Rhinolophus ferrumequinum: one gene and its partner. The protein of the gene in region 1 purifies or fractionates together with the protein of each later gene. This does not show direct contact. Links are inferred from orthologs where the notes say so. Each region holds a gene or a part of one and is shown in the gene's direction. Other genes may lie near its edges. The genes, in order: clathrin light chain B and CLTCL1.

Evidence for each region.
Region 2: the proteins of clathrin light chain B (region 1) and CLTCL1 purify together in Homo sapiens (affinity purification with mass spectrometry; 3 studies listed by BioGRID and IntAct, with this or other methods). This does not show direct contact. The link is inferred for Rhinolophus ferrumequinum from reciprocal best matches to the Homo sapiens genes CLTB and CLTCL1.

The regions. Positions count from the first base shown.
Region 1 is NC_046307.1:6,079,063-6,094,690, forward strand, and holds the start of clathrin light chain B, read left to right. Parts: upstream 1-6,960; 5' UTR 6,961-7,189; coding exon 7,190-7,376; intron 7,377-12,424; coding exon 12,425-12,471; intron 12,472-15,628. UniProt on the Homo sapiens protein: Clathrin is the major protein of the polyhedral coat of coated pits and vesicles.
Region 2 is NC_046308.1:23,899,953-23,916,201, reverse strand, and holds the start of CLTCL1 (clathrin heavy chain 2), read left to right. Parts: upstream 1-8,939; 5' UTR 8,940-9,385; coding exon 9,386-9,427; intron 9,428-16,249. UniProt on the Homo sapiens protein: Clathrin is the major protein of the polyhedral coat of coated pits and vesicles. Two different adapter protein complexes link the clathrin lattice either to the plasma membrane or to the trans-Golgi network.

The DNA.
Region 1 (15,628 bases):
GGGCTGTACCATTTTCTGTTCCACCAGCAAGGTGTGAAGTTTCCAATTTCACAACGTCCTGGCTAACACTTATTTTCCTTTTTAAATAAAAAATTATAGGGGTGGCTGATGGCTCAGTTGGTTAGAGCGCAAGCTCTAAACAACAGGGTTGCCAGTTTGATTCCCACATGGGCCAGTGAGCTGCGCCTTCCACAACTAGATTGAAGACAGCAAGCTGTCAGAGAGGCCACCGGATGGCTCAGTTGGTTAGAGCGCAAGCTGTCAACAACAAGGTTGCCGGTTTAATTCCCACATGGGATGGTGGGCTGCATGCTCTTCAATTAAAGATTGAAAACGGTGACTGGACTTAGAGCTGAGCTACGCCCTCCACAACAAGATTGAAGGATAACTACTTGGAGCTGATGGAGCCTGGAGAAATATACTGTCTCCCAATATTCCCTAATTAAAAAAAAAATTGTAGTCACCCTAGTGGGTGTAAAGTGACATCTCATTGTGGTTTCAATTTGTATTTCCCTAATGAATAATAATGAATAGCATCTTTTCAAGTGATGGCTGGCCATTTGTATATCTTCTTAAGAGAAATGTCCATTCAAGTCCTTTGCTCATTTTTTAAACTGGATTGTTTATCTTCTGGTTGTTGAATTTGTAAGAGTTCATTATGTATTCTTGACACCAGACCTGTATCAGATATATAATTTGCAGATATTTTGTCCTATTTTATAGGTTGTCTTTTCACTTTCTAGATGGTGTTCTTTGATGCACAAAAGTTTTAAATTTTGATGAAATCCAATTTATGTATTATTTTTTCTTTTATTACTTGTGCTTTGGTGTCATCTCTAAAAATCTATTGCCAAATCCAAGGTTATGAAGATTTATGCAAATGTTTTAATAGTTTTATAGTTTTAGGTCTTACATTTAATTCTTTGATCTATTTTGATTTCATTTTTGTATATTGTGGGAGGCAAAGGTGCAACTTTCTTCTTTGGCATGTGCATATCCATGTGTGCCAGCAACATTTGTTGAAGAAACTATTCTTCCTCATTGAATGATCTTGGTATCCTTTTTGAAAATCAGCTGACCATTGATACATGGATTTATTCCTGGACTTTCAATACTATTTCACTGATCTATGTCTATCTTCATGCCACTACCACATTATTGATTACTGTAGGTTTGGAGTAAATTTTGAAATTGGGAAATGTAAGTCTTCCTACTTTGTTTTTTGTTTTTCAAGATTGTTTTGGCTATCCATGGTCCCTTGAAATTCCATATGAATTTCAGAATAAACCTTTCCATTTCTGTAAAAATGGTCATTGGGATTTTGATAGAGTTTGCATTGAATCTGTAGACTACTGTGGACTGTATTGCCATCTTAATAATATTAAATCTTTCAATCCATGGCCACTGAATGTTTTTCCATTTATGTAGGTCTTCTTTAAACTCTTTCAGCAATATTTTGCAGTTTTCGGTGTACAAGTCTTACATTTCTTTTGTTAAATTTATTTCTAAGTATTTTTTTATGCTATTGTAAATGAAATTGTTTTCTTAATTGCATTTTTGGGTTTTTTATTGCTAGTGTATAGCAATATAACAGATTTTTATGTGGTGATCTTATGTACGGAAACCATGCTAAAATCATTCATTAGCTCTAATAGATTTTTTGTGTGTATTCTTGAGGGTTTTCTATATAGAAAATCACTTCATCTGTGAATAGAGATAATTTTACTTCTTTTCCAATTTGTATGTCTTTTATTTATTTTTCTTGCCTAATTGCTATGATTAGAAGTTCCAGTACAATGTTGAATAGAAGTGGCAAAAGTGAGCATTCTTGGGTAGGAAGGTTTTTAACTACAAATTTTATTTCTTTAATAGATGTATGGGTATTCAGGTAGTTTATGCCTTTCAAGGAAAATATATCACAGAGCTCAATGTAAAACAGAAAACTGTAAAACTTCTAGAAGAAAACATTAGGCAAAAATCTTTGTGACCTTGGTTTAGGCAAAGATTTCCTGGATAGGATACAAAGACATAATCCATAAAAAAACAAATTGATAAATTATAACTCATCAAAATTTTAAACTTCCGCTCTTCAAAAGACATTATTAAGAAACTGAAAAGACGGAGAGAAAATATTTGCAAATTATATGTCTGATGAAGGACTTTAGTCAGAAAATATAAGGAACTATCAAAACTCAATAAGTAAACAAACAATCCAATTTAAAAGATTTAAACAGATACTTTACCAATCAAGATATATCATACGCGGGCCAGCCTGGTGACTCAGGCGGTCAGAGCTCCATGCCCCTGACTCCGAAGGCTCCCGGTTCGATTCCCACATGGGCCAGTGGGCTCTCAACCACAAGGTTGCCGGTTCAACTCCCACAAGGGATGGTTGGCTCCACCCCTGCAACTAAGACTGAACATGGCACCTTGAGCTGAGCTGCAGCTGAGCTCCCGGATGGCTCGGTTGGAGCACGGGCTCTCAATCACAAGGTTGCTGGTTCGATTCCTGCAATGGATGGTGGGCTGTGCCCCCTGCAACTAGAAAACGGCAACTGGACCTGGAGCTGAGCTGCGCCCTCCACAACTAAGACTGAAAGGACAACAACTTGAAGCTGAACAGCACCCTCCACAACTAAGATTGAAAGGACAACAACTTGACTTGGAAAAAAGGCCTGGAAGTTCACACTGTTCCCCAATAAAGTCCTGTTAAAAAAAAAGAGATATCATAAGATTATTCTAACTTTTGTTGGTAATATATCAATATTGGTTCATTAATTGTGACAAATATATTATACTAATTTAAAATGCTAATGCAGGAAATTGGGCATATGGGAACTATAATATCTGTATTACATTTCTGTAAATCTAAAACCCTTCTAAAAAAATAAAAGAAATTCTAAATGATAAAAATAAAAGTTAAACTTACTCTGGTACTCAGCACTATAAAAAGGAATGAACTATTGATACGTGGAACAACATAGATGAATCTCAAAAGAATTGTGCTGAGTAAAAAAAGCCAGACAAAAGAGAGTGAATATTGTATGATTCTATTTATATAAAACTCAAGGCCATACATAAAGCATATTAGTGATTGCCTGGGGATGGCAGAGAGGTTTTCTAGGTGTACCCACACGTCAAAATTTATAAAACTGTGAACCTGAAATATTGCATGTCAATTATATGTCAATAAAGGTTCTTAAAAAGTATAACGTCTATGATGAATTCAAACACGTCAAATATGTATAAATCCAGGAGTTCATTATAATACCAAAAAGAAAACAATCCACCAACAAATAGCTCGTTATTCACTTTTGGAGACTGCCAGCACATCAATTCACTTTTCTGAAAGCTGGTAAATTAAGAGAAACACTTAAACATTTATATTACCTCTCCTCTATGAACTCTCCTTCTGGGTAAGCAGATGGATAACGAGTGAAAGTTCTTTAAGAATTTCCAGCTAATGCAGAAATAGTGAAAGAGAATCACCACAATTTTTCAACCCCAAATAGTTATTGACTTAGATAAAGATTACAAAGGCTGCCAAAATTGGAGGTAAAAGCCTGAGCTGGAACTTTGCTATTGAGGGACCAGGCTGATGACACCTAAAGCTGCTGATCAATCCTCACATCACTAAGAGGCAACTAGACACGATGTGATATTTCATGTGGTGCGATGGACTTTCCCAACACCATGTGTGAAACATGCTTGCAAAAAAAGTCATCTGGCATCCCATTAAACCTCAAGACCAGGGTTTCGTGATGTGACTGACATTTTGGGCTCAACAATTTTTTTTTTATTTAAATTTATTGGGGTGACAATTGTTATTAAAATTACATAGATTTCAGGTGTGCAAATCTATATCACATCATCTATAAATTACATTGTGTGTTCACCACCCAGAGTCAGTTCTCCTTCAACAATTCTTTTTGATGAGGGGCTGTCCTGTACTTTGTAAGGTGTTAAGCGGCATCCGCAGCCTCTACCCACTAGATGTTAGTGCCCCCTTGCAAGTTGTGACAGTACAAAAAATTCTCTAAATATTGCCAAATGGTCTCTGGAGGGCAAAATCAACCGTGGTTGAGAACCACTACTCTAGATCTCACTACCAATTCATAGGAAATAATAAAGGTTCCAAAGAGCATGTTAAATTCCACCACAGGAATATGACCAGAAAAATCCACACCGAGAAAAAGTCTACAAAACAATAGATTTTCTTCAACAACAACAAATTGCAAGAAAAAAAAAGGGGGAATGTGTCTATAAAGATTTAAGAAAGAAACATCCTTCAAGCCAGTGAGCTAGGAAGCTCCCCAAAGTTAAATTTCACCACCCATGGAGAGACTGAGGTCCCAAATCAGGCAAACTTTAAGGAGGAGTGGGATATGGACCTCCTGTATCATAGAGACCAGCTTCTTGCCCAGGACAAGGGATTAACAAACTACTAGGAGGGAAACACTCCAATTCACACCACACCAGGGAAAGGCACCTCAAAATGCTAATTGAGAACTGTGATTCAGGGTTTGTTGCGCTGGCTTTTAGCCTGCAAAAAAGGCAAAGGGCAGACCCGCCTCCTGGACATGGCCTGTCAGGACAGCTTCCATGCAGGGCTTAGGCCCCGGGCGAGACTACCTTTTAGGCAGGAAAGATGCTGGAAGTCGAGAGAACAAGAAAGGCATTAAGCAGATTTTAGAGAAGAAAATGTCAACTTCATGCTTAAGGAGAGAGTCCTGAAGTAGGCAGATCCTTTAGCTGGATGTCCCTACAGCATGCAAGTGGCCTTGAGGGCCTGAATCTTCTAGGCAGAAACAAGGAAGTTCAGAGACAGACATCCCAGGAAAATCATGAAATTCCAACATCAACAATGATGGTGGAAGCATCCTCCCTTACATGCTCCCCAGGCATCCTGTGCCCCATCAGCACCAGCCAGGATGCACCATGGGTGCTAGAAACCTCTGAATGCCACCTGCATCTTTGGGCATGTGTCAGCCAGAAAGTCTTCCTCCAACTTCTTCTGAAAAGAAAATTTTGTTCAAAGAAATGTCTCTGTCCAGTTTCAGCAACTCCATTAACTCTCACAGAAGCACATCCTCTACGGAAGATTAATTCTGCTTTTTGTAAGCAATGATATTTATTTATCCTGCACAAATACATTTTTTAAGAAGAAAAAGATTAAGAGGAGATTTTTCTATTGACCATGAAGAAGTAACAGGGTTCTAAATTATCTTCCCACTGTAAACAACTAGAAAACTGGACAAAGTATGTGAAATAATTATTTTCAGACATTAACAATAAGTAGAACAGAACTGTGATTCCCTAAGAGAAGAGAAACAAACAAGTATGATTCTCCAGGCTTTGTACCTGAAGGAATGTTAAATTGCTGAGTACAAAAGGGGCACCCAAACAGAGCTCAGTGGTCTCAAGAGTCAAAGAGATAGAGATAGGAGTTTGGGGATGTTGAAGTGACTTGGATTCACGGGACAGAGTACTAGAGGGAAGGGAGCTAGGCAAACCAAGAATTCTAGAAATACACATAAGAGATGCCAGTGACTTTTTGGCCAAATGATAATCTGCATGTGATGATATGATCTTATATGTAGAAAACCCTACAGATTCCACACAAAAAAAAACTGTTAGAACTAATAAATGAATTCAAGAAAGTAGCAGGATACAAAATCAACACACAAATTTCAGTTGCATTTCTTCACACGAACAATGAACAATCTGAAAAGGAAATTAAATCAGAACACCCGGTGGAGATGACAATGGGGAAGCACATAGCGTGTTCACTAGTCCTCTGTCTCCACAAAATCTGGAGTTGACATTTAGGGCAGGTCTGTCAAACAAGCAAACTTTCCAGGTCTTTCCAGCACCCCAGCCTGTAGTTGGGGGAATGAGGAAGAGGTGTGAGATGAAGGTGGAGCGGTGTGCTTGGACCAGGTAAGCAGGGCTTTAAATTTCTTTCTTGTTTACACTACTAATACTATTCTCATCGTGAGAGTGAAACCTACATCAAAGTATTACTGAGCAAGCCTGAAAGGCCCCTTCACCCCAACCCTACTGCCACGCCCCCACCCACTAAGGGAACTGCTACCACAGCTTGGGGTGTATCTTTCCTTTTTCTCTTCCAGTTCATCGTTGATGTTCAAGTTGCAAATCGCAAAGAGAAGATCCCAAAGCCCCTCCGGGTTTCCTGGTACCCCGTTTCAATGTCAGAGCACCTGCACACGGGCTGTGAGGGCCCGCTTGCCATCTGCTGGTCTGATAGATTGTACTCTCCCCATTGCCAAGACTGGTTTTGCTACGTTTTGTCGCCCTAGTGCTTGGCACAGCACAGGCAGGGAGGAGGCGTTCGGACACTGTGTAGTGAGGGTGACTGGGTGGGGGCTGGCAGGCTGCCTCGATCAATTGTCCGCCTTTCTCAGACTGGACATTTGAGGGGCCCAGCCTCTAAGCAGGGGTGCAGTCAGGTCATACAATCTCTGGCGATCTGAGTTGAAGCCACCCCAAATGAAGAGAAATGCACTAAAGCAACACGTCCTGGTGGGAAAGGCTCTGGACTTGCAACAAAGATGCAATCACGCTGTGGGACTTAGTGTCACCTCTCTTGGCCTCATAATAATGAAATTTATAATATCCACCCAGTTTAGGTGAAGAAACTGCAGAGTGGACCAGGAGCAAGCTCCGCGCAGCGGCCACCCTCTCCGTGCTCTGGAGGTCGGGGCTGCCCGCCGCGGTGGCCCTGTGCACGCTATGGCCACTTTGTGCAGTGAGCTTCCCCTGTAGACCCGGCCGGAGCTGTGCGGTGTCCTGGTGTCCTGGAAATGAGCCCTCTGGCAGGGAACGAGAGCGCTGCCCCGGCCTCGGGGCCCCTCGGGCTGCGCCACCGTCCTGCTGCTGCCCTCCGGTGGCCGCCGCTAGGCGACCTCCGGCTGTCCTGCGGGCCCCCTCCCTCGGCCGGTGACATCACCGCATTCCCGTCCCGGCTCCTCCCGTCCGCACCGCAGTGACAGGAGAGTCGGGCCCGGTGGCGAAGAGGAAGTGCGGGCCCACCACACCGAGCGCGTCCCCGCAGAAGTCGGCTCCCTGGGCGCTGGGGTGACTGTGCCGCCGCCGCGGGGCGCAGCGCCGGGCACGCGCCGGGCAGAGCCGAGCGCCAGGCGGACCCTCCAGCAGAGACGCAGGGAAAATGGCTGATGACTTTGGCTTCTTCTCGTCGTCGTTGAGCGGGGCCCCCGAGGCGGCCGAGGAGGACCCGGCGGCTGCCTTCTTGGCCCAGCAGGAAAGTGAGATCGCGGGCATAGAGAATGACGAAGGTTTCGGGGCACCTGCCGGCGGCCAGGCGGTCCTGGCGCAGCCGGGACCCGCGAATGGGGGTGAGTCAGCGCCGTGGCCTGGGCAGCGGGGGGCCTGCGCCTCAAACCGGGGTACCAGGCAGCGCAGACGGGGCCTCTTCACCTAAACTGGACGGGGCCGCAGACGGGGAGAAAGCAGAGCGCCTGCTCGCCACTAGCCAGGAGCAGGCCTGGGGCAGTGTGTGAGCCGGGCCCGGGGGGGAAATGCGGAGGAATCTTGGAAATTCTCATCTGAGGGCCCGCCTGGGGTTGTGGATCTGGTGGCTCCTGGGACAAGAATTCGTCATGACATTTCATTCCCTGGCCAGCTTCACCACTGCGAAGCTTTGGAATCCAATGGTGCCCAGCCCTGAGAATCTGGCCTGGGGTAGTAGTCGCCTGGCTGTGTGGGCTTCCAGCTGAGCCCTGAAAATGTGGGCAGAACCGCAGACCTCTCTGCCCTTCAGACTTAGCTTTCTCCTAAAGCTGGGAAAGCAGGGGACAGTGGGTGCTCCAGGAACTCACACACCTTCCCTGGGGACCACCTGCCGTCCTGCAGTCACTGGGCTAGGCACTTTATTTACATTTAATAATTTTATGTGCATTATTAAACCCATTTCAGAGATAGCAAAATCGAGGCTCAAAAAGTACAGTACTAAAACAACTGGTAAGTGGCAGAGCGACCGTTTAAATCTGTTTCTGTCAGACTCTAAGCCCTCTCCACCTGACCACATTGTCTTCCATATGCCTGGCTCTGAGTTAGACACCAAGGGAGTGGGGGCAGGGCACAGTCACATGTGGTCCTGCCCTGTGGTGTTTTTCAAAGGTGGGCCAGGGCTGCTGTGGTTAGCCTCAGACACAGGGTCCGGGGCCTGGTCTTTGTGACAGCACGTTTATCAATGATGTTTCTGTTCTGGTTCTGGCTTGAAAGAATAATTTCTTAAAACATTTAGTAAAAAAGTAGATATCACCTTCATGGGTGCATCCAACACAGCACTTGCTTTCTGTTAATGTCGTTATTTTGGTGGGGGTTTCTGGGCCTTTTGGAGTCAGTGGTAGCTTACATATTTTAAGAAAATGTTTACAAGTAAGGCTCCTTAGAGTTATGTTTGTATTCATTCAACATTTAGCGACCACCTTCTGTGTGCCAGGCCCACTGGGGATACAGACATGAGTAAGACAGTTTCTGTGACTTGAGGAGCTTCAAGCTCTCTGTAGCCCCTTGCTTTGAGAAATGTAACAAGACTTTTGTAACATATAAGAAAGTGGAGGCCCAGAGAGATTGAGTATCTTGCCCAAAGTCACACAGCCGTGAGTGACAGAACTGGGACTTGATCCATTCCCAGACCTCCCAAGTCTGGGCTCCATGCTCTTTCACATGTTACGGCAGGGCGGTCGGCAGTTATCTTGGGAGGTGATGGGATGTGGGGGTGAGGGGACGGTCTTTTGCTACCCAACCAAACCAGCAGTGGAGGTCTTCTGAAGCGGCAGCTCCTAGCACCTCAGGACAGACTCTTGCACATCCTAGGAAATGCCTGCCCATGTTCACGCACCAGTATTCATTTGTCCACTTCTCCTCCTTGAGACCACCAGCTTCCCCAGTCTGGCTTGGCTTGGGGGATGCTCTGCTGAAAACAGCAGATGTCACAACCCCCTGAGAGAGAAGCAGTAGAAGTCAGGCTGAGGTAACCAGAGGCGTCCGGGAGTTGAGCGGGTTGTGGCCTCTCCCAGGACAGTGGGGCTCTCAGGGCTCACAGCCTGGATGGGAGTTTCCCTCTCTGGCAGGGGTGGGGCATGAATTGGCCGCATGCCTGAGGTGGCAGGGAGAGAAGCAGGGACATGCCCTGTGAGGGTCTGTGGGACTCACAATTTCACACTGCAAAAGCTGCAAATGCCCTTCTGAGTGGGGCAGGGGGATCCAGGAGGTATCGTGGCTGGCAGCTCAGTAGGTGGCCAGAAAGGATGGAATTGATCTGCCCTCCTAAGCCTACATGGTGCTGAGCAAGTAATTCCCCCTGGACTAGCAGTGAGTGCCAGAAGCCAAATGGGTGGGGAACATGTGCCTTGGCCTGCCGGGAGCTGGGTGGAAGCTGGCTTCCTGTCAGCACCGCTGCCTGTCAGCACCTCTGAGTCTTGTCTCTTAGATGATGCCCCTGCACAGAGTGCCCTGACTTGGGCCCCAGGTGCCCCTGGGAAAAGAGGTGTCTTGTGTAGGCCTGAGCCTGAGCTACATTGAGTCTTTCCTCTGTGGGCTGGAGCCTGTGCAATGGACACTGTTTCCATTCATCACCTTGGGTAAGGCCCAGAAGGTTTACTTTTTCACACCTAGATTGCTGAGCACCCAGCCCGGCTCTGCCGCTGACTTGCTAGTCAGTTCCTGGCAAGCCTGTTTGCCCTACTGGGCCTCAGTAAGCTCCCAGGAATGTTCTGGACCCCGTCTGCCACTGTTCCAAAATGGGTCATGTCTGGGACTTGTGTCTGCTGTGCTCCTTGCTGCCGGCCTCTGACTGCAGACACACGATTATAAAAGTGCAAGAGATGCATCAGAAAGCATTAAGGGAACACATACTCACATTTCTGTATGTGGGTGTCTGTGGGTTCCCGAAGAGGCTGAAACTTCATCTCCAGAACACTCTTGGGACTGAGAGACTGGGGCTGAGACTTTCTGAAGGCCAGTGGGGCTTGAGCCTGGGGCAGGTCAGGGTGGAGTGGGGTGGTACAGCTTCCACTCCAGAGAGGCCAAGTGCGCAGACCAGCGTTGTTGTGAATGGACCTTGGAAATATAAGGCCCTGGTGGAGGAGATACCCCAGGGGAAGATGCTGCCTCTGAAACCCCACCAGCTCACCTGAGTTAGGGCCCAGGCCACTCAGGCAGGAGAAGCCCTATCTGAATGAGTAGGGATGATTGCTGACCTGTCTGGTCAGAATCGACCCCTGTTTTACTCTGAAAACAGAGTTGACTCTAATTTATATAGACTGGAGATTATTTCCACGGATTAAGTGTCCCTCCCTTCAATCCCCAGGCTGAAAGCACTGTCACTGCTGCTCACATCTCTGTCTGGCTGGTAAAGGGATACTTGTCCATCTGTGGTCATCTCATGCGTCCTGTGGCTTTCTGCTAGGAGACACTGCAGTTTCTGAGAGGACTCAGACAGGCCTTGTAAATAACCAGGGGCCCCCAAAGAACAACTCGACTTCCATTTAATCCATACTTATTTCTCACCCATTCTGTGCAGGAGCCCTTGGGAGCTGAACAGGATACAGAGCCTGATAAGGGAGTGCATGAGCCCTGGGAGGTCATGAGTAATTGCATAAGAGGGTGGGGGATGCCGTACAGTATTCTGGGATACACCAGAGGTGAGACCCTCCATCAGTGCCTCGGGAAGCAGGAGCGATAGTGGAGGGCTTTCCAGAGGAGATGACTTGTGAACTGGGCCTTAGAGAGTAACTGGATCCAGAAGAGCATTCTTCAGAGAGGGAAGCAGGAAGAAAGGCATAGGGTATTGAGTGGTGTGCTTGGGGAAGGAGGAAACAATATAGGGTTTGTGGGAAGGGCTGGTTGGCAGTGAGGCAAGAAAAATGGGTGGGGCCAGGCTGTAAAGATCCTCAAGTGCTACGTCAAACGTACTCATTTGACAAATATTTACTGAGCCCCTGTTATGTACCAGGCAAGAGGTGCTGGGCTCCAGCAGTGGACAAAACAAAGTTCCTGCCCTCCTGGAGGGTCCATTCAAGTGGGGAAGTCAGACAAACACCTAACCAAGTAAACATATCAGGCAGTGGTAACTGCTATAGAGACAAGGTTGGAGAGGGGTGCCCGAAGGGTGAATGTCAGGGGTGGTCAAGGAAGGCCGATAATAAAGCAACGTTTGAACAGCAGCTGAAGGGAGTGAGGGAGCCGCCCACTTGGAGACGGGTGGGAGGGCCTTCCAGGCAGAGGGAACAGCACCTGCCGAGTCCCTGAGGCAGGAGCAGGCCCTATAGGCTACTGTGGTCCGTGGGAAGTGGATTTCCTTTTGGTTCATTTTTATTAAATTTTTAATGAGAGGAGTGACATAAGTAAGTGTATGCTTTACAAAATGTCAGCTCTGGAGTTGGTTTGAAAGAGGGTTGGGAGAGCATGAAGCTAGAGTCAGGAAGGCCTGTGAGTGGACAAAGCCTTCCTTCCTTCCTTCCTTCCTTCCTTCCTTCCTTCCTTCCTTCCTTCATTCATTCTTTCAAGGCATTTATTCATTTGTTTGTTCAACAAATAGGTTCTGACTCTTACTAAGTTGCAGGTACCGTGCAGGGATCTGGGAAGGACAGTGGTGAGGACAAAGGATATAGCTGGGCCCCTCCAGGTGTTTGCCACCAGTAGGGTGGAGACCAAAGCATCTGTACAGGCGAGAGCTGGCGCTGAGGCCAGACTGGGCAGAGAGTGGAGGGCAACTTGGAGGGTCACTGTTGCAGCAGAAGCCACAGGAATTTGTGACTAATCAGATGTCAGGGACCAGGAGAAGTCATTGTTGAGGGCAAAATGAAATCCTTCTGGGAGGGGCAGAAGGAGGAAAAAATAGGCCCAGTACTGTCTGGTGGGGGCTGTGGTTCTTGCTTTCTCAGGTGGAGCAGTTGCTCAGGAGCCCCAGGGACAGGCACAGACGCGCAGGTCCCACTTCCTTAGCCCTTGCAGACTCCGCCCTGAGCCTACAGCTCCTCTACCTGCTCACCAGGCACAGGCTCCATAGTTGGGCCATTCCCAGCTGTGGCAGAGGGTATATCCATTTCAGGTAGGTGAGGAGCTATTACTCATTGGATGACCTTGGGCAATCACATAGCCTCTCTGAGCCTCAGTTTGAGAATCTGTAAAATGGGTTGATGTCAACTTCATCACAAGACTGGTGAAAATCAAATGTGATAAAGACTGTGAGAAGGGATGGTGAACAGTTAAGGGCAGAGTTCAAGTCTTTTATGTATCCAGAATGTTTATTTTGGGGGAGGGGTCAATACTCGCATGGATACATACAGTTTGGCTCCGGGTGCTAATGTAGGGCCATTCTGCGCTTCCTATAAGCTGAGCAACAAGTAATGCTGTCTCCTTGTTCTCTTTCTAGCTGGTTCTGAGGACATAGGGACCACGATCAATGGAGATGTGTTTCAGGTAAGCAAGATTCAGCCTTGGCAGTGGTAGGGACTGACAGCCTAGACCTCAGGAACTTACCCATCAGTAGGATTAGGGCTCCCAGTTTTCTGATCACTATGTCTGATGCATTGGGATGGAAACATAGAGATTTTGACATGATTTTCTTGTTATGTAGGAGAACGTGATGAGGAATAAGGACCACGAGAGACAGGGATTGAAGGACTGTAGCCTCTGGCTTCCCACAGTGTTGCCCTGCTCCTGGAGGGAGGGATAAAGTAGCCCACCGTGGTGTGGACTGAAGGAAGCACAGGGCCCTGCACACATTGGCCCTCGCAGGCCGAACTGAGTGGCCGTCCCTCACACACATGAACATTTTAACTGGGCAGGCCTTTGACCCAGAGATTCCATTCCTCAGAGTTTTCCTAAGGAAATAACTAAACAAGGACCCCCAGATTCTTCGCAGGATGATGTATAGTAGCAGACAAACTGGAAATGACCTAAGGGTCCAGCCCTGGGAGCCTGGGTGGGTAAATTGGGAAACCATGCTGTTTTTAAAAAGACAGTCAGAGCTTTCTGTATTGACATGAAAAGATGCCCACAATCTATTACGTGGGAAAGCGGCTTGCAGAACAATATGCACAGCATGGTCCTGCTTTTTATTTTAGATATGTTTGCACAGAATATCTGAAAGGTTGTGAACCAACTGCTAACAGTGGTTAGCCCCAAAATGGGGGTTGGGGAGGGGTAAGAAAAGGGCTTTCACTTTTATTGTTTAAAAATTCTTTACAGTGGTTCTGTGCACACTCCCACACACATACCCTCACACACAAACACACACGCATGCACCAAAACACGTAGTAAGGATATTTCTAGTTAAAGATTGCCCTCTGTACCCACCTAACCCTCCTTCCCTCATATATATATATATAAAAATTGGTTTAAAAATATTTAGACAGATGAATAACTGTGTTGCACTCCTGAAACTCATAGAATATTGTACATCAATCATACTTGAATTAAAAGTATTTAGACTTAGAGAACTTGGCCCACAGATGGCATCCCCAGGACCCCACAGATGCAGCTGTCGTCATCCCCCCACCCCCTGCCAGACGCCTGGGTGAGGCAAAGCTTTCATTAGACGAGCCTTAGTTCCCACTGGACGGGGCAGAGACCCTCAGCTCCCGGGCCGCTGCTTGGGGATCTGCCTCTTCCCGCCCTGTCGCGCCTCCTGAATTCTCGAAGAGAATAAACAATACTTTCTTATGTAAGAGGGATGGGCTGGTACCTTACACAGGGAAACTGGCCAAGTCCTGTCTCTGGAAAATTACTCAACTATCTGCAAGCTAGAAAAGTCAGTCTCTAGGGCTTTCGGATTTCATGTGTCCATGGGCCTGAAAGCCCAAAATAATCACTGTTTCATCCTGCACCGTTTGGTAGATCATTGAGACACGGGCTGCCCTTGCTCTGGGCACACCAAAAAGGACTTTGCTTGACCCACAGGCCTGTGTCCTAAAGTAGACCTGGAGCTGGAGATGCATTTGGAACCACAGAAGTGCCTAGAACACTGTGAGGAGGAGAATTTTCCCTTTCTACGCATTAGGATGAGACCTCCCTCCATACGCTCCGGTCTTGCTTTGTGTTTGACGGATCTGAGGAATCCTGGGCCTCCTCCCCAATCTCAGTGGGAACTCTTACTCTCACTGTCCCGTTAATAACCCCAAGTATGTTTATTTTTTTAAATTTTTATTGGGGAATATTGGGGAACAGTATGTTTCTCCAGGGCCCATCAGCTCCAAGTCATTGTCCTTCAGTCTAGTTGTGGAGGGCGCAGCTCACTGGCCCATGTGGGAATCAAACCAGCAACCTTGTAATTCAGAGCTCGTGCTCCAACCAACAGCCCTCCGGCCGCCCCCCCCCCCCAAGTATGTTTATTTGTTTCACACTCATGCCATCCCAGAAGCCTTACAGGCAGGACGGGGTCACAGATGAGGCCGGTCACTCAGCAGCCGGGTCCACCCAGACCTCCTGCCCCTGGTCTGGTGCCCTTTGCACCACATCCTTGCTGTGGACTGTGCAGGCCTGGTGGCTGAGTCACAGGTGGGAGGCCCCCCACAGACCTTTAGAGTCAAACAGTTTGGCTTGTGCTGCAGGGGGAGGAGAAGCCTGCATACCCAACACTTTCAAGAGTCTGGGGCAGAGCTTTCTTGCTACCTTTGTGTGTTTTTGTGGCAGCCTGTGGGCCACTAGAGGGTCCAGGTATGGACCGGATCCCCAACGAGGCCTAAGGATAAGCCTGTCCATACCTATTCCAGTTTTATCTGGCACTGCCAGGGCCAGGGGCAGGAGGCCCCTGCAGCACTCATTCCTCCTGCACAAAATCTCTACCTTCCCTCACCCCTCCCATCATCCACCGTTGAGCTACTTAGAGAAATCAACAGCTCAGTTTAGCTTAGTTTGAGCTGCTTAGTACCAAAGACGGATATGCCTCATCCTCCTGGCTGTCCCTGGATTCACAGCACAGGTATGGCGAGCATGGCGCATGGTGGCGCTCATGTGGTGTCCAGAAGAGGGTTCCTGATTCGGGGGTGCTAGGGAGCTGCACTGAGAGAAGCCTGGCTGTGCCTGGAGCCTCCTGCCTTTTGGTCCTGGCCATGCTTGACCCCTTCCCTCTCCAGCTTGCCCCTGGTGAGTCCTGGCCTGCCAGCCCTCATGGCAGCTGACCCAATTTCCTCGATGGGACATTCAAGTGATTAAAGAGGAGACCTGCTGTGCCCCCAGGGCTCCCCCCCACCCCCCGCCCAACTGCTCACGGGTAGAAGCAGGGGAAACAAGTCCATAGCGGCCAGAGAAGAGGAGCCAGCAAATGGTTTCTCAGGACTTTCCCTGCCAGAAACACCGCTGTGCTCGTCCTGGTCATGCAGCCTCGCTCGGCATGCACGGGGCTGCCATGCGGCACAGTGAGCCACGCAGCCTGCCAGCCCTCTCATGTGCACACCTGCCACAGCTCACAGGGTTGCACGGCAGTTATCGCATATGGGCCCCGCTTTGCACCCTGCGTGGGATGTTGCCACTCCCATTTAACAGGTGATGAAGCACAAGAAGCCCAGGGAAGGGACTCTCAAAGGTCCCACATCCAGTGAGGGGCACAAAGGGAGTTAAAGCCCAGTCCTTCTGA
Region 2 (16,249 bases), on another chromosome or scaffold:
CCACTGATACATCCAATAAGGGGTTAATATCCAAAAACTACAAGTCATCTGACTTAACACCAAAAAAACAAACAAACAAACAAAAAAACCACCCAAACAATTCTATTTAAAAATGGGCAAAGGACCTGAATAGACATTTCTCCAAAGAGGACATGCAGATAGCCAACAGACATATGAAAAGATGGTCAACATCACTAATCATCAGGGAAATGCAAGTTAAAACCACAATGAAATCACCTCACTCCTGTCAGAATGGTTATCATCAATAAATCAACAAACAACAAATGTTGGCTAGAATGTGGAGAAAAGGGAATCCTTGTGCACTGTTGGTGGGATTGTAAATTGGTGCAGCCACTATGGAAAACAGTATGCAGATTCCTCAAAAAATTTAAAATAGAACTACCATATGACCCAGCAATTCCACTGGGTGTGTTCATTGCAGCGTTATTTACAATAGCCAACATATGGAAGCAACCTAAGTGTCCATAATAGATGACTGGATAAAGAAGATGTGGTACATTTATACAATGGAATATTACTCAGCCATAAAAAAGAATGAAATCTTACCATTTACGACAACATGGATAGACCTAGAGGTTATTATGTTAAGTCAGACAGAGATGGATAAATATCATATTATTTTACTTATATGTGGAATCTAAAAAACAAAATAAATGAACGAACAAAACAGAAGCAAACTCATACAGAGAACAAGTTGATGGTCTCCAGATGGAAGGGGGGTTGGGAGGGTGGGAGAAAAAGGTGAAGAGATTAAGAAGTACAACTGCCAGTTATAAAAATAGCCATAGGACTGTAAATTACAGCATAGGGAATATAGTCAATAATATTGTAATAACTACGTATGGTGTCAGATGGGTACTGGACTTGTCAGGGTGATCACTTACTAAGGTATAGAAATGTCTAATAATTATGTTGTACACCTGAAACTAACACAATATTGCATGTCAACTATAACTGAAAAATAAATTTTTAAAAATGAAAAAAAGAATTACTAGTTGTGTTTTTGGGCACACAAGTATAAAGATGTAATTTTGTGACATCAACAACTGAAAGTGGTAGGGATGGGGATATAGAGAAGTAGAGCTTTTGTATGTTTTTGATGTTAAGCTGGTATAAATTCAAATTAAACTGTTACAGGCTTACCTCAGAGATATTGCATGCTCAGCTCCAGATCACTGCAAGAAAACAAACATCACAATGAGGCGAGTCACACAAAATTTTTGGTTTCCCAGCGCATGTAAAAGTTATGTTTACACTACACTATAGTCTATTAAGTGTGCAATAGCATTGTCTAAAAAGGTGTAAATATCTTTAAAAATACTTTATTGCTAAAAAATGCTAACCATCACTTGAGCCTTCAGTGAGTCATAATCTTTTTTTTCATCATTATTTGAAATATTGTGAGAATTACCATAATGTGACACAGTGACACAAAGTAAGCAAATGCTGTTGGAAAAATGGCACTTATTGACTTGCTCAATGCTGGATTGCCACAAACCTTCAATTTGTAAAAAACACAACTAAACACAGGAGAAGATAGTTATACAGGAAACGAGAGACAAAAAATCTAAAGGTACAGTGGTACCTCGGTTTTCGAATGTAATGCACAAGTTCTGAAATGTTCGAAAACAGCCAACAGCTAGGCCTCAGGATCTTGCACTCAGCGGAAGCCACATGACATGTTCGACTTCTGAGTCGTGTTCAAAAACTGAAGCATTTACTTCCGGGTTTAGGGCACTCATAAACCAAAATGTTGGTCAATGGAGACGTTCGAAAAACGAGGTACCACTGTATATGGTAAACAAATAGTAAAATGACAGATATCCTTCCTTCTCAGTAATACATTAAATGTAAGTAGATTAAACTCTCCAATCAAAAGACAGAAACTAGGGCCGGCCCGGTGGCTCAGGCGGTTGGAGCTCCGTGATCCTAATGCTGAAGCCTGCCAGTTTGATTCCCACATGGGCCAGTGGGCTCTCAACCACAAGGTTTGGGAGCTCCTCAACTGTGGGCTCTGCCCCCTGCAACTAAGATTGAACTCGGCACCTTGAGCTAAGCTGCTGCTGAGCTCCCAGATGGCTCAGTTGGTTGGAGCGCGTCCTCTCAACCACAAGGTTGCCGGTTGGACTTCAGCAAGGGATGGTGGGGCTGTGCCCCCTGCAACTAACAACAGCAACTGGACCTGGAGCTGAACTGAGCCCACCACAACCACGATGAAAGGACAACAACTTGACTTGACTTGGAAAAAGTCCTGGAAGTACACACTGTTCCCCAATAAAGTCCTGTTTAAAAAAAAAAAAAAACAGATTCTGGAAGAATGGATATAAAAACATAATCAAACTATATGCTGTCTGCAAGAGACTCACATTAGATCCAAAAACACAAATAGGTTGAAAGTGAAAGGATGGAAAAAGATATTCCATGCAGATATTAACCAAAAGGAAGCAGCGATGGTTAACATCAGATAAAACAAACTTTAAATCAAAATAATTCACAAGAGACAAAGAAGAACATTGTCCTAAGAGAAATAATGCAGTCATAAAAAGACAGACCATGATTCCACTCAGATTAGGTGCCTAAGAGTAGTCAAAATCATCAAGACAGAAAGTGGATTAGAGGTTGCCAGGTACTGGAGAGAGGAAGGAATGGGGGAGTTATTGTTTAATGAGTATAGAGTTTCATTTTTGTAAGCGGAAAAGAGGAGATGGATGAATAGAACTACTACAGAGGACTACAGTGTAGAATCAATAATTCAATATACTACAAATCTAAGCTTTTTGTACCTTTTCTTAGATGATACTTGGATTTTTATTTTAGAATACCTTAAATCCATTTATTCCACTACTGATTCACATACTATAGTTTTCATATATTTTAATTCTGGTATGTTTTTAATCCCAGAAGGCATTATTATTATTTTGTGTTATATACTCAAATTTCATTTAGATTTACCAATATGCTCTCCTTGTTGAATTTTATTCTTCCTGCATCTCTCATCCTCCATTTGAAATCATTTTATTTTTGCTGAAGAAAATCCATTAGTTTCCTTTGGTTCAAGTCTACTGGTAATGAATTTCCTCAGATCTCATTTGTCTGCAAATGACATCAATCCCCTTTCATTCCTAAAGGGTGTGTGTGTGTGTGTGTGTGTGTGTGTGTGTGTGTGTGTGTGTATGTGTATGTAAAACTTAGAATCTATGATGCTTCTTGTTGTTTGAGAAATCAGTTCTCAGCCTAATTATTTCTCCTTATGTAGGGTAGATGTTGAGGAAAATTTGCCTTCATTGGTTGATGTGAGCTGTTGTCTATTAGCTTTTACCTGTTCCTACATGTGAGGTGATTTCTGTGCTGTGATCAGGGGTTGAATAAATTCCCCCTTTGGTCTCATTCTCCTGAGCAGGGGACATTAAGAGATGAGGTTTTCTGTTTGGTCTCATTCTCTCGAGTAGGGGAGATATGAGATGTTTGTTGTTCTGTCCATGTTGTGAGGTGATGGTTAGCTTAGGGTTAAAGAAATTCTTGATCAGGGGTTGAGAGAAGTCACTCTGTTCTGTTGGTTTCACCCACATCAGCAGATGAAGTGAAGAAGTAGCTAAGTTATATCAGGACAACGTGACAGGCACATTGCAAGGCTTTGGAAGACCTTGGGCTGATGATCCCAAGCAAGAACAGTAGATATTCCTTGTCTGGATGAACTAGCTCTTCAGCCAGATAAGTAATATATTTTCTTTTTTTATCATTGACTGCTGGACCCTCCCGGAACTGGCTATTCCCGGAGGGGGAGGCAGGAACAAAGAGCCTGGCTCTAAGGTACATCTGAGAAAATATATAAGACAGACCTCAGTTGACAGTGTAATTATTATGTCATCATTTGGTCATTTGCCACTGGTGATCTTTCATCATTCTAACATTTTGAAGACTTCCAGCAACATGCAGCTTACAACACCAGGGGATGTCCTGACTTTCAGCCGTGAACCTGGTGAAGTCTGGCTGGTTCCTGGCCTCTCCGGTGTTGTTCCTCACGGTTAGCCTTCTTAAGAATTTGTCAGCATCTTGAAAACTTGTATGCAGCTTACAGCTTACAACATCAGAAGAAGTCTTGACTTCTAACAACAATAACAACATTCTTGAGATTGTTGACACCTTGAAAACTTATATGCAGCTTACAGCTTATAGCATCAGAAGATGCCTTGACTTTTTAACAACAACAACAACAACAACAAAGGCAACAGCAACATTCTTGGGAACTAACAAGCAGTGTTGTGGGAGATGCCTGAGTTTCTGTCAGCTACAGACTTGGCAAGGTTTTGATTTATGACTTTTCCAGTGTTGTTCTCCCCCGGTTTGGTGAACTTTTGACATCTACTGTAATACTTACTATCCTATAAGCTTATTACTGTTTTTGGATACTCCTTACTGATGTTATTTGTGTAGTTAGCCAAGTGATTTTTGATCAATAGTAAACATATGCTTAGTAAACATATCACTTAAACTTGGGATTACTCCTTTGACATGACAGCGGTATCAATGTATATAGTTTAGTCTTCACCACCTTTACTTTCTGACATCAACATATTCTATTAATTGCCTTTGACTTTTACCATGGTATACTGCTAACTGGATTGAGTGAAGATTGCTAAATAAATAATCAATTAGCCCCTCTCTAGTGTGTGCTCCTCCTCCTCCTCCTTCTCCCCGCTCGACATTCAAAAGTAATCTGTCTTTTCCCTCTGACTGCTTTTAAGATTTTTTTTTTTTTTTAGTTTTCATCAGTTTTACTATGATATGCCCAAATGTGGTTTGTTTTTTATGAATTCTGATTGAAGTAATTCTTCTTGAACCTGAGGCTTGATCTATTTCATCAATTTTCAAAACACTCTAAGCCAGGGGTGTCCAAACTGTGGCCCATGGGCCAACTGCGGCCCATGATCCATTGTTAATTGGCCCACAACAAATTCCAAAAATATATTTAGTTTACTTAAATAAACCAGGTGAGGCAATACGTACTTCACCTCGAGTGAGTGGCCCGGCTGTTTGTGTATTTTTACCGCATATGGCCCTTGGTGAAAAACATTGAAAAAAGTTTGGACACCCCTGCTCTAAGCCATTATCTCTCCGGACATTGTGTCTGTCTCATCCTCTCCACGTCTAGGACTCCAATTACATGTATGTTAGTCCTTACTGTAGCCTCTATATTTATCTATATTTTGTACTTTCTATACTTTTCTCTCTGTGCTTTAATTTGGATATATTCTTCTGACCTAACTCCAACTTCATTAGTTTCCTCCTTTAGCTGTATATAACCTAACAAACACTATTCATTAAATTTCGATTATAGTCTTCAGTTCTAGAATTTCCATTTTGTTCCTTTTTTATTTGTTATTTATTTTTATTTTTATTTATTTATTTTTAAGGAGGGCACAACTCACAGTGGCCCATGTGGGGATCAAACCGGTAACCTTGGTGTTATTAGCACCACACTCTAACCAACTGAGTTAACCAGCCACCCTCTTTTTCTAAAGTTTAATAAAATTCTCAGTCGTATCTTTTATTCTCTTAGCCATATTAAGCATAGTCCTTTCAAAGTCTTTGGGAAAACTCCATTATCTGAATCCTCTATAGATCTATTTGTTACTTCTCTTGATTTACAATCATTTGTCCTATCTTCTTGGATTCCTACTTATTTCTGATTGAGTGCTGATCATTGCATATGAAATAATTTGAGGCTTATCATGAGGTTGTCTCTCTCCCAAGAGAATTTATGTTTGCTGCTGGCAAGGACTGACATGATTTGAATGGAGTCCCAAACAATTTGTGTTCCAAAAGCAAAACATTAGGGTCTCTCCTGGGTGATCCCCAGACTTCAAACTTTGTCTTCCTATGTCTCTGAGTGTGTTAAAAGTGCTGCCCAGAACCCTAATTTCTCTGACACTCCTCTGGAATTGGCAGATATCCCTCAGGAAAAAGCATCCCAAATGCCAGGCTAACCGCTCTCATTTCTTCTTTTCTCTTGGATATTGACCCCATAATTATTTCTGCCTTGTTAGTTCTCTGATGCTTTCTGGAAACAGAAGCTATCCATGGACTTTTTAATTTCATGTATTGGAAAACCCCATGAGAATTGGAATTTAGCTATAACGTGTTTCCTAGGCCGGTTTTTAAGTTTGTCTTTCAGTTCTATTTTCCTTTCCCCATCTATAAACTGCTTTATGGTGCTGGCACTAAGACTCTTTAAACTATATTTCTGTACTGGCAGAAACTCCCTGCCCATAGGGATGCTGGAGGGCAACTGCAGGGTCTGCTCCTGTGGACATCACCCCAGCTACACTCTTCAACAAGTCAGAGCAGGTTCTTCCCACAGAAGAAGCTGAATCCAGTCTGAAATTTTTCCAAGACTTGCATAACCAGCCTCAATGCACGTCCTCCTCAGAGGTCTGGGACCTGGCCCCACAGCCCCTCAGCAGCAGTGTGCACCTAAGTCTCATAGGGACACTTCTCAGAGGTCTACGTCCCTACCCCATGGAAACCCTCCTCTAGGCTTAGAGACTCTCTTTCCAGAGGCCTGAGTTCCAGCGCTGTAGTGCTCTTCCTCTAAACTGAAATATTTCTAGTTTCATCCCATTCATCCCTGAGCTGTAGGGATGGTAGCTACTTTCTATACTTGTACATCCATGATAACTTGGGGTTCTCGTTTTACCCTCCCAGCTGCCTAGTTATCAGCTTTATTTATGTTAACTATTGTTTATACTCCAGTCCCTCTGTTAAATAACTGGCGTGGTTTCTGTCTCCTGAAGGATTCTTATTGATGTAGTTCCCATCCTTGTCCTTCCTCTATTCTCATTTTATTTATCTCACAACATGATTAGATATTTTGGTCCCACTTAGTATGTGATGACCAAGCTTTACAGTACTTTATTACATTTGCATTTCTAGAATTTCTATTTGGTTCATTTTTAAATCTGCTTGGTCATTCTTTATAGTTTCAGGTTTCCTGCATGTATTTGTTCCCCAGCATGTATTTTTAAGCTTGCCAGTTAGCTCTTTAAACATATTAAATATAGTAACTTATGGTAGTTACAAAATAGTCATGAGGATGCAAAGTACAGCATAGAGAATATAGTCAATAATGTTGCAATAATTGTGTATAGTGCCAGGTGGGTACTAGACTAATGCAGGGAATCACTGCATAAATTATATAAATATCTAACCACTACGCTGCACACCTGAAACTAATATAAAATAATATTGAATGTCAATTGTAACTGAAAAACAATAATTAAAAAATAAATATACTAATTTAAAGTCTGTTTGTGTGTGATAATTTCATCATTTCAATCTTTGTGAGTCTGTATCTGCCTTTTAGTTCTCCTGGTTCTTTCTTGTGGTGCTTTGTTTTCCTGAGTGTTATTTTGTTGTTGTTGTTGTTTTGTTTTGTTTTTACCATGAGCTGCACATTTTCCTTGGAATTTTATTTGTAGGAAGAAGGTCTGCAAGAAAGACTGTAGAATAGATACCCTGGGTGGAATACTAAAGTGTCTGTGCCCAGCTATCATGAAGTTCTCTTTCTTGCCAACACAGTTATCAAAGTTTTGTCCTTCACTGATGTGATAGGTAGAAAAAGTACATAATATAAATGTAATGTATATATAGAGAGATACAGAGATACATAATCAGTATGGTTTTAATTTACCTTTTTTATGAGCGAAGTTGGGCATTTTTTTCATGTGTAAGAATCAGTTGTATTTCTTTTTTATGTATTATTTGTTCATATATTTTTGCCCATCTTTCTGTTTGGTTGGTGGTCTTATTGAGTTGTAGGATCTCATCATTTCTATCGTGAAGATTAAGAAAGCACAAAGAATTGAAAGACTTTTGACAGGATTACTTGGCAAGTCACACAGCAACGGTAAGAATATTAAGACCCTTTTCAGGTAAGAATGTTTAGTTCCTTTATAAATATAGACACCAGGCAAAGTTCTGACTTATTTGCAATCCTACCATTTTGATTATGCATTATTTTCCTTTCTTCTGGGGTGTAAATTTTTAGTTTTGACCCCCCCAAAAAAAAGCCCTGGGTGGGTGATCTAGGGAATGATACTATTAATACTAAAGGATTTATATGTTTGGGGTAAAGGGTACTTGAGATCATAGGCATTATTGCCAAGATAGAGAAATGTAGTGTTACCCACAGCAAAAATCGGCTCTATTGTTAGGTGATGAGGCCACACAGATGTTGAAAGGGCAGTCTGCAGAGGTAATACTGGAAAAGAGATTTAATTTGCAAGTGAACAGTGTGTTCTCTTTAACATTTTTGGCTACTATATTGAAAAGTTAATGTGCAAATAATTGCATCGCTGTATTATTCAGGGTGGACCATTCGTTTCTTAAAATGACCACTGAGCAACCTGAAACAGTAGAGGATAGCGATTACTCTGTGAGAGTGCCAACGCAGAATGCCAAAAGCTTCCCCTTGCCTGACAAACATCTTTTATGCAGCCGAGCCATCTATATGCAAAACACATCTTCAAATGGTGCCTCTGAAAACAACTGGCTGCTGGGCAAGGCAGGTGTGGACTCTAGTTCCGGACTTGCTACTGCTATGTATTGTGCGACCACAGGCAACCCAGGTGATTCTCACTGGCTTTTGGTTGGTCATCTGCTGCTACCGTGTATGTTATCTTTGCAGACTCGTCGCACTGATATTCTGACACAGTATTCTCTAGAAAACGAATGAACCCGGAAAGATGTTTCCTATAGGAGCGGGGGCTGAGCCTTGCTCAGGAACACATCTGTCACATACTTCGAAGACTCCTTTGGCGGTGTTTTGGGCACATCTGTGCCTGAATTTTAAAAAGTGCCTCTGAACTCAACTGTCCAGAGTTTGAGGTAGAACTTTTCTACATATGGACGGCTCTAGGCAAGAGCAGCCTGGTAACTTGGTTTACCTCTTCTTCTAACCCCGTCACTCACGGAATTTACTGAGGGCAGCCCACGCCTAGTTTTCCGCCACACACACCTGTCCTGGGCATTGGCCCACTGCAGTCAGAGCCCGAGTCCACCTTCCGGTGCTCACCTTTCCTGAGCACAGACCCGGACAGCACAGACTCGCCTTGGCTTGGGGTGCCGGAAGTAAGGCTACGCGCGGACTACTTTTCGCGGACCCTCGGAAGGCGGGCGGAGGGATCCCGCGCACTCTCACGCGGAAGGGGTACGTGCGGCGAAGCCCAGGCAATGCGCCTGCGCGGCGGCGGCTGCGACCTCTGTTGCCGCTGCCTCCCGTCAGTGGGTCGGCGCGTCTGCCTGTCCGCGGGTCTGTCCACACGAGGGGAGCTGTCGCTTTCCCCTCCTCTGCTCCGCGTCCGCCATGGCGCAGGTCCTCCCCATCCGTTTCCAGGAGCACCTCCAGGTGAGGACCGAGCTCCCGCACCGAGGGAGCGGCGGGCGGGCTCCAGGGCGGGTCTCGCGCTGGGTCCTGTCAGCCGCGTCCCCGACCTCCCGGGGGACCCGGCGGCGCCGCTGACCGGCCGGCGGCCCCCAACCGACTCCAGTGGAGACGGCGCGGCTCGGGAGCCTAATGGCCGGGGCGGGCAGGCGGGTGGGTGTCGGGCGCGGTGGCCGCGTCCCGGGAAACCGTTATCCCGCAGCGACTGTCGGCTCTGGGGGTGCGGTCTGGGTAACCCTTCTCGGGCGACTCAGACCTCGGGAATGCTCAGAGTGCCGAGTGATGGAAACCATAAACTGCCGAAACCTGTCGTAGTGCCTTTGAAAAGCTTTAACTGACTAGCGGTGCGCATGCATTCGAATCCCAAGCTTTATAACTCCAAAACCTGTGTCCAATCCTAAAATTTCCCTTTTGCATCTCGTGATACTTACGCCGGAGTTTGCGTCTGTTGACTTGCAGAGTCGCTAGTGTGGCCTCGTGGGAGAGGATCTTCAAATTGTGTGACCAAAGAAGAAAAGTAATCATAGTGTTTTTTTCAGAAGATCCTTTCAATACGATAATAATACCCTCGAAGTTTAGCTTTTTAATGAGGTCCCACTTTCTTCTATCTATAACTCTCCTGATATAGTTGTGCCTGAGGAAAAGAAAGATTGGCTGCCTGTGTTTGAACGAAGTTCGGTACAAGCACTGGGCACAGCGCTCCGCTCACATACACTCAGGTGTCATACCTGTGAAGGGTAATACGATTCTCACTTTACAGGTGAGGAGATGGGGCTAGATGAATAGTAGCTACCAGCTCTTTCTTAAGTGCTTTATGTTAAATCATTACACTTCATAAAATACGCAGTATTTCCCCTGTTTTCTAAAGAAGGAAACTGAGGCACAAGATGTTAAATGAGTAACTTGTCCTCAGTCATTCATTGAACAAGAGAAGGATTCAGACTTGGGTCTTTTTGACTACACAGCTATACAGCAAGGAATTTGGTGGATTGAAAGGTCGTGTTTTCACAACACAGTGCACTTTTAACTCTATATCCAAACGAGAAAGGCCCTGGGAGTCTATAGTGACTGTTCAAATCGCCCCCATCCCGCAGATTGAAAACTTGATACCTGAGTATCCTGCCAGGGTTACTCGGTTAGTGATATAGCTGGTTGTGTGGAGGTGGAAGTCTCCCAAACACCCATCTCCTTCCTGGGCTCCATTCTACCACTGACCCAAGCCTGTTGCCAGTTATGTAGAACAGCAAAATACTACTACTGCTATTAGAATAATATAGTCATCATTTATTGAGCTGTTTCTCTTGCCAGTCACGATACTGTATATTTTAGAAATCTCATTTAATTTAACTCACGATAATTGAGGCACGAAGAGGTTAAGTAATTCAGGTAAAATTACACAGCTGGTAAGTGACAGAGCTTGGGTTCTAACCAGGTCTCTGACTCCAAAGCCTGTGCTTTAGCCACTGTCAAAATACATTCTTTTCAAAAGGTAGGGAAGCACTAAGGCATTTTAAATACCCATCAAAGTTCATAATGCCTTGAAGGGACATATTCTATTATCTGGAAAATATGTGTGGCTTGTGGCATACAGGCCATGAGAGTAGAAATCTGTGGTTTGTGGTTTCTGGCACTAACCAGTGTGAAGGCTGCTTTGCACTCCTTGTTTATTATCTAGCCTGCACACTCTCCCTTCACGGCAGACATTTCAGAACTTCCACCTTGTCCTTAAATCCCTGATCCTGCCACTCCCTCTCACTGCCAGCAGGTAATTAGAGAAACAAGGCATAAGCTGGTATGTTCCTCACCTTGATGCATGCGGCCTTACAAACTTGTATGCGATCTCCCTTTTCTGCCTTCCTGTTACCTCCAAAGTGGGGTTCTTTTTCTTGTGTATGTAATGGGGCCTTGCTCGGTAGCATCTTGTCTTTCCCGTATTTTCATCCATTTCCTCTTAGTGGGTTCTTCCTGCTTGTGCTTAACCATGCTCATATTGCTTCCATCTTTACAGCAAACTTCTTCCTCCCATGTCCTCCTGAAGCTCTTACTTCATGGCCAGACGTCATGAAAGAATTGCCCTATCCCTTCTTCACTTCCCTTATGTTCCTCAATAACCTGCAGTCTGGTTTTTGTCCCCCTTGCCAAGGTCACATGCAGACATGTCGTTATGCAGACTTTTTTTGTAAAGGACCAGAGAGTATATATATTCAGCTTTGAGGGCCACATATTGTTTCTTGTCACAAATTCTTCCTTTTTTTTTTAACCTTCTAAAAAATGTAAAATCCATTTTTAGTTGGGCCATACAAAAACAGGTTATGGTTTGCCAATCCCTGCTGTAAAACATAAACTCCATCACGGGGATGTAAAGTACATCACAGGAGATATAGTCAATAATATTGAAGTAACTGTGTATGATATCAGATGGGTACTAGACTTATCGGGGTGATCACTTCATAAGTTATATGATGTCTAATCACTATTTTGTACACCTGAAACTAATACAATATTGTATGTCAACTGTAATCGAAAAATAAAACATTATTTTAAAAAATAAAAACAAAGCAAAAAAAATTAAATTAAATTAAAAAAAATAAAAACAAACTCAAACTCTTAGCATCACAAACATCTTCCATGACTTTCCAGCTGCATTTGACACTGTACTTTATTGCCTCTCCTGGACCTTTCTCGGCTGCTTTTGATGGTACCACAGTCTCCCAGGATTTCTCCTACCTCTTTGCCCATACCCCAGTTTCCTTTATAGATGTCTCTTATGCATGAGCCTGGGGTTTGTCTTAAGCCCCTTTATCTTTGTAGTATGCTCTGCTCTGATTTGTGTGTATGCTCATGTACTCATTATTCCCAGAGAGGTTGCATATTTTTGCCGAGCCTCGGAGCTGCATGTAGGAGAGGCAATTGCAGACTCTGGTTAGAGTAGAGACTGAGGCCAAGTGGAAGGGTTTGAGTCTGGACTCAGGCACATACTGACCATATGAATTTGGGCAACTTGGGTAACCTTTTTGTGCCTCCATCTCTACATCTATCAAATAAGAGATAAAAGGTATAATTCTTACCTCGTAGAGTTACTGAGGTTTTGCAGTAATAAATGTGGTAAATGTAAAGTGTCAGTGACTGGCCTGTAATAAAACACTATGTTCTTGTCAGCTGTGATTGCCATTACAACAGCTCTCTGTTGAACAAAGCCATTGGATGACCCATAGTTTCCTCAGATACATCATGTTCAGAAATAGGGTTCTTCTTCCTCCCCAAACATGTATCTTCTCCAGTTTCCTGTCAGGAATCTAGGAGACAAGCATGATTTCTCCCTAGCCTATTGGTTCTTCCTCCTATTTATTTTTGGCATTGTTCTGCCACTGTCATCGTGACCACCACTGCCCTAGAGTCTGCCATATTCGTCACCTAGATGGTCGTACTATGTCTCTGGTCATCTGCCTCCAGTCTTGCCCTCCCCTGTCCATTCTCTAGCACATAGGCAAAGAGACCTTCTCAAAGGATGAACAGCTGCTTAGTCTGTCAGTGAATGGTTCTCTGTTGCCTCCAAGATGAAAATGCCAGACTCCCAAGAGCTCTGTAAAGCCCTGCCTAATCTAGCACCTGCTTAGCTCTCGCTACGCCCCTTCTTGTCCTCCAGGACCTTTTCTGGAGCCTGACACCTTTGCTCATGGGCTTTTGCACATATTGTTGCCTCTTTCCAGAACCCATTCTTCCCTTTGCCACTGTCATTACCCAACCAAGTCCTACTTAACCATCTGGTATCTGCTTAAATGACACTGTCTGGAAGCTGTCCCTGACTTGTCAGAGCCCTTCCTTTGTGCCCCTGTGGCCTTTGGGACTTCTCTTATGATGGCCCTCATCCAATGGTGTTATAGTTGTTCATTTTCCCTGCTGGACTGCCAGCTCAGAGAGGTCAGGATTTCCTCTTATTTGCAATTGTATTCCTGCGGCTTGGTACATAATAGGCTGTCAGATCGCTGAAACCAATTTCATAATAAAATGTGTGTGTAATTAGTGACTGATCAGTTATAATGTAAATTGTCTAGTGATGAGGTTTGCTCACCTGTGACTGTTTGCTGTAAGTCTGCTTTATTAAAAGTGCTTGTTTGTCTCACTGACTTTGCTTTGTTTCTGCCTCACCTCTGTCCACCTGATCACTCCCCCAAACCAAAAATTACTTGAGAAAAGAAGGTTCTCCAGTTTTACAATATTAGGAAAGGGAAAATGTAGACTAGTGACTGATAAAACTTAGTTCATTTAAACTTAGTTTTTTTCTCTGAATCTTAGTTTCCATGTCATGCATAGAAAAATAATTCTAGATGCTTTACATTTGTGCATCTTACTATAAGAATATTAATTTTTTTATGTTTTTAATTTTGCTTTGTTTCATGTGAAAATTCTCAGACCAGATTTTTCCCGGAGGAAAAACAGTAGTTTTATAATGGTCAGTAGGAAAATAGAAATAAGTATTTGGAAACTTTTATTCTACAATCAACTTTTCAGGGATGTACCCAGAGCAGAAGCTGCACTTTTATATGTAGTGTTTTGTAATACAGCATTCCTTCTACTTCACCTTAAGATCATAGCGATTTATTTAGTTTTGCTTATCCTGTCGCATTGGTTTTGAGAGGACTGGTTCTGCAGAAATATGTTTCTTTTTTTTATAAGTACTATTTGAACTTTTGAAATTCAGATATCTGAGTTGTAAGGTTGTTGCTGTTTGTGATATCTGAGAATGGAGAAAAGCGAAAGGGCTAAGAACTGATGACACCTTAATTCATAAGAGGAATGGCTGAACCATTCAGTGACCTAGAAATTTATCGTGAGCCCTAGGTAATTTTCTCCCAGCTGGATCAAAAAGCAGCTGCTAGTTTGTAAGAGTTTTGAAATGTGGCACAGCTCAATACACTGAGAACTTATAAACATGTTCTCTCAAGTATTTGATTATGTAGGATATCTCTTAGCTTATGGTCTTAATAGATGCAGAGTCTGCAAAGGCAGTCTGTGTAAATTATAGGAGCAAGGTGGTCACTAGTTTTAATCAGTGCTTCTCAGCACAGGCTGGACTTTCAAAACACCTAGCCGGTGTCCATAAATCAGAATCTCAAAGAGGTGAGGGTGGGACTTTGGCATTTCTTCCCAAATAAGTCACACTCAGCAGGGTTGAATCAATCTTTTAGATGTTGGTCATAATTCATAATTAAAGAAAAAGGTTGGTCTTTGAAGGCTTTTATTATGTGAGTAAGGAAGGCAGAACTCTAAGGAGTATACTGAGCTTGAGAGAACAGTTCATGAGCATGTGTCTTCTGGAGAGGCCCTTGGGAAGTCACTGAAGGGAGACGTGTACCCACAGCCTAGTACATGCTTGATTTATATTATTATTACATAGCCATCTCGTTTTGTGAAATGGTTTTTGATCTACTGAGACAAACAGCAGTAGGCTCATTATGTGCTAAAATTGTTGTACACCTATGTAAAACTTTTTTTTTAAGGTCTTGTGTAAGCTGTTAAATTTTGCCTTTTGGCAGACTTATGATCCTTGTGCTAGAAATAGATACTGGGCAAGTCATTTACCTTCTGACTTTTCATATTTACAAAGTGAGGAAAGTAACCACCTGCTCACCCAGGGTGTGTGGGAAGGTGAGCCTTTGTGAGCATGCCCACAACAGTGGGTGGTGAGGGACCAAATGTGAAATGAATTTGAATAGGGCTCCTTTGGAAAAACTGATCATCACTAGCTAACACATTCTAATGCTCAAAATCCCTAAACTGCAAAGATTTCCAGTACTTTTTGAGTTTATTGGGTTGAAAGAGTTACCAAGTCCAAGTGGATCTTAGTCAGTGTTCCTCCCCACCAGGTTCTTGGGCATTCTGGAACTGGGGCAAAAGTCTATGTGGAACAAGCTTTACAAACAAAGTAATACATACCCATGGGAGAAGAGCCCCATACAAACACTATAAATTAAAATTAAAGCCTTTCTGTTCAACCACTGGGTTTCTCTCCCCAGAAGAAACCACTATTAAGGAAACTACTATGTTTTTCAAGAAATGGTTAAAAGAACATTCTCTATAAATATTCTCCTGCCCTTTGCATTTGTAACTTACTACAGTTTGAAGATCTTTCTTTCAAGATCACATACAGATCACAGCATCTGTTTGACAGTTTTGTTCATTAATATCTCCCTGGGTGGTAGTAGTGGGCACCCCGTCACCCCATCCTGTAAGTATTTCTTTGCTTTCCCTTGATCTTCCTGATTTTTCCCGCTTGCTGCTTCACCGAATCTGCTGCTTTTATTCTCTTCTCCAACACTTTCTTATTCTTCTCTTGTTTGAGACCTGCTGGTGGCCTCCGTGCCAGAGAGAGATTACCGTGACTCTTGGCTGGCTACAGAAGGATGCCACAGAGCTGGGACAGCAAAGTTCAGTGACAAAATTAGAATCCAAAGAGATCTCGACAGGCAGGAATCCAACTAGTTGACATTTAACAGGGATAAATATAGGGTCTTATGCATTGGTTTTAAAATACAGAAAACCTGCAGTGGTGTAATTTGAGACAGGGTCTATAAAGCACTATGCAAGTGTACTTTTTAAACTAACCTAGTCCTAGAAGTTTAGGTAAGTTCTAGAAAAGACCTTAGTATCATCATTTACAAATGTCCCTCTTTGAGCTAGGAAAAGCTTGCTGATAAGTTTAAAATATAAAATATATTTTCTTAAATGTATTTGCAGATGAACTAAATCTGACTGCCTAAAACAAGTAACTTCTTTACTAGTTAA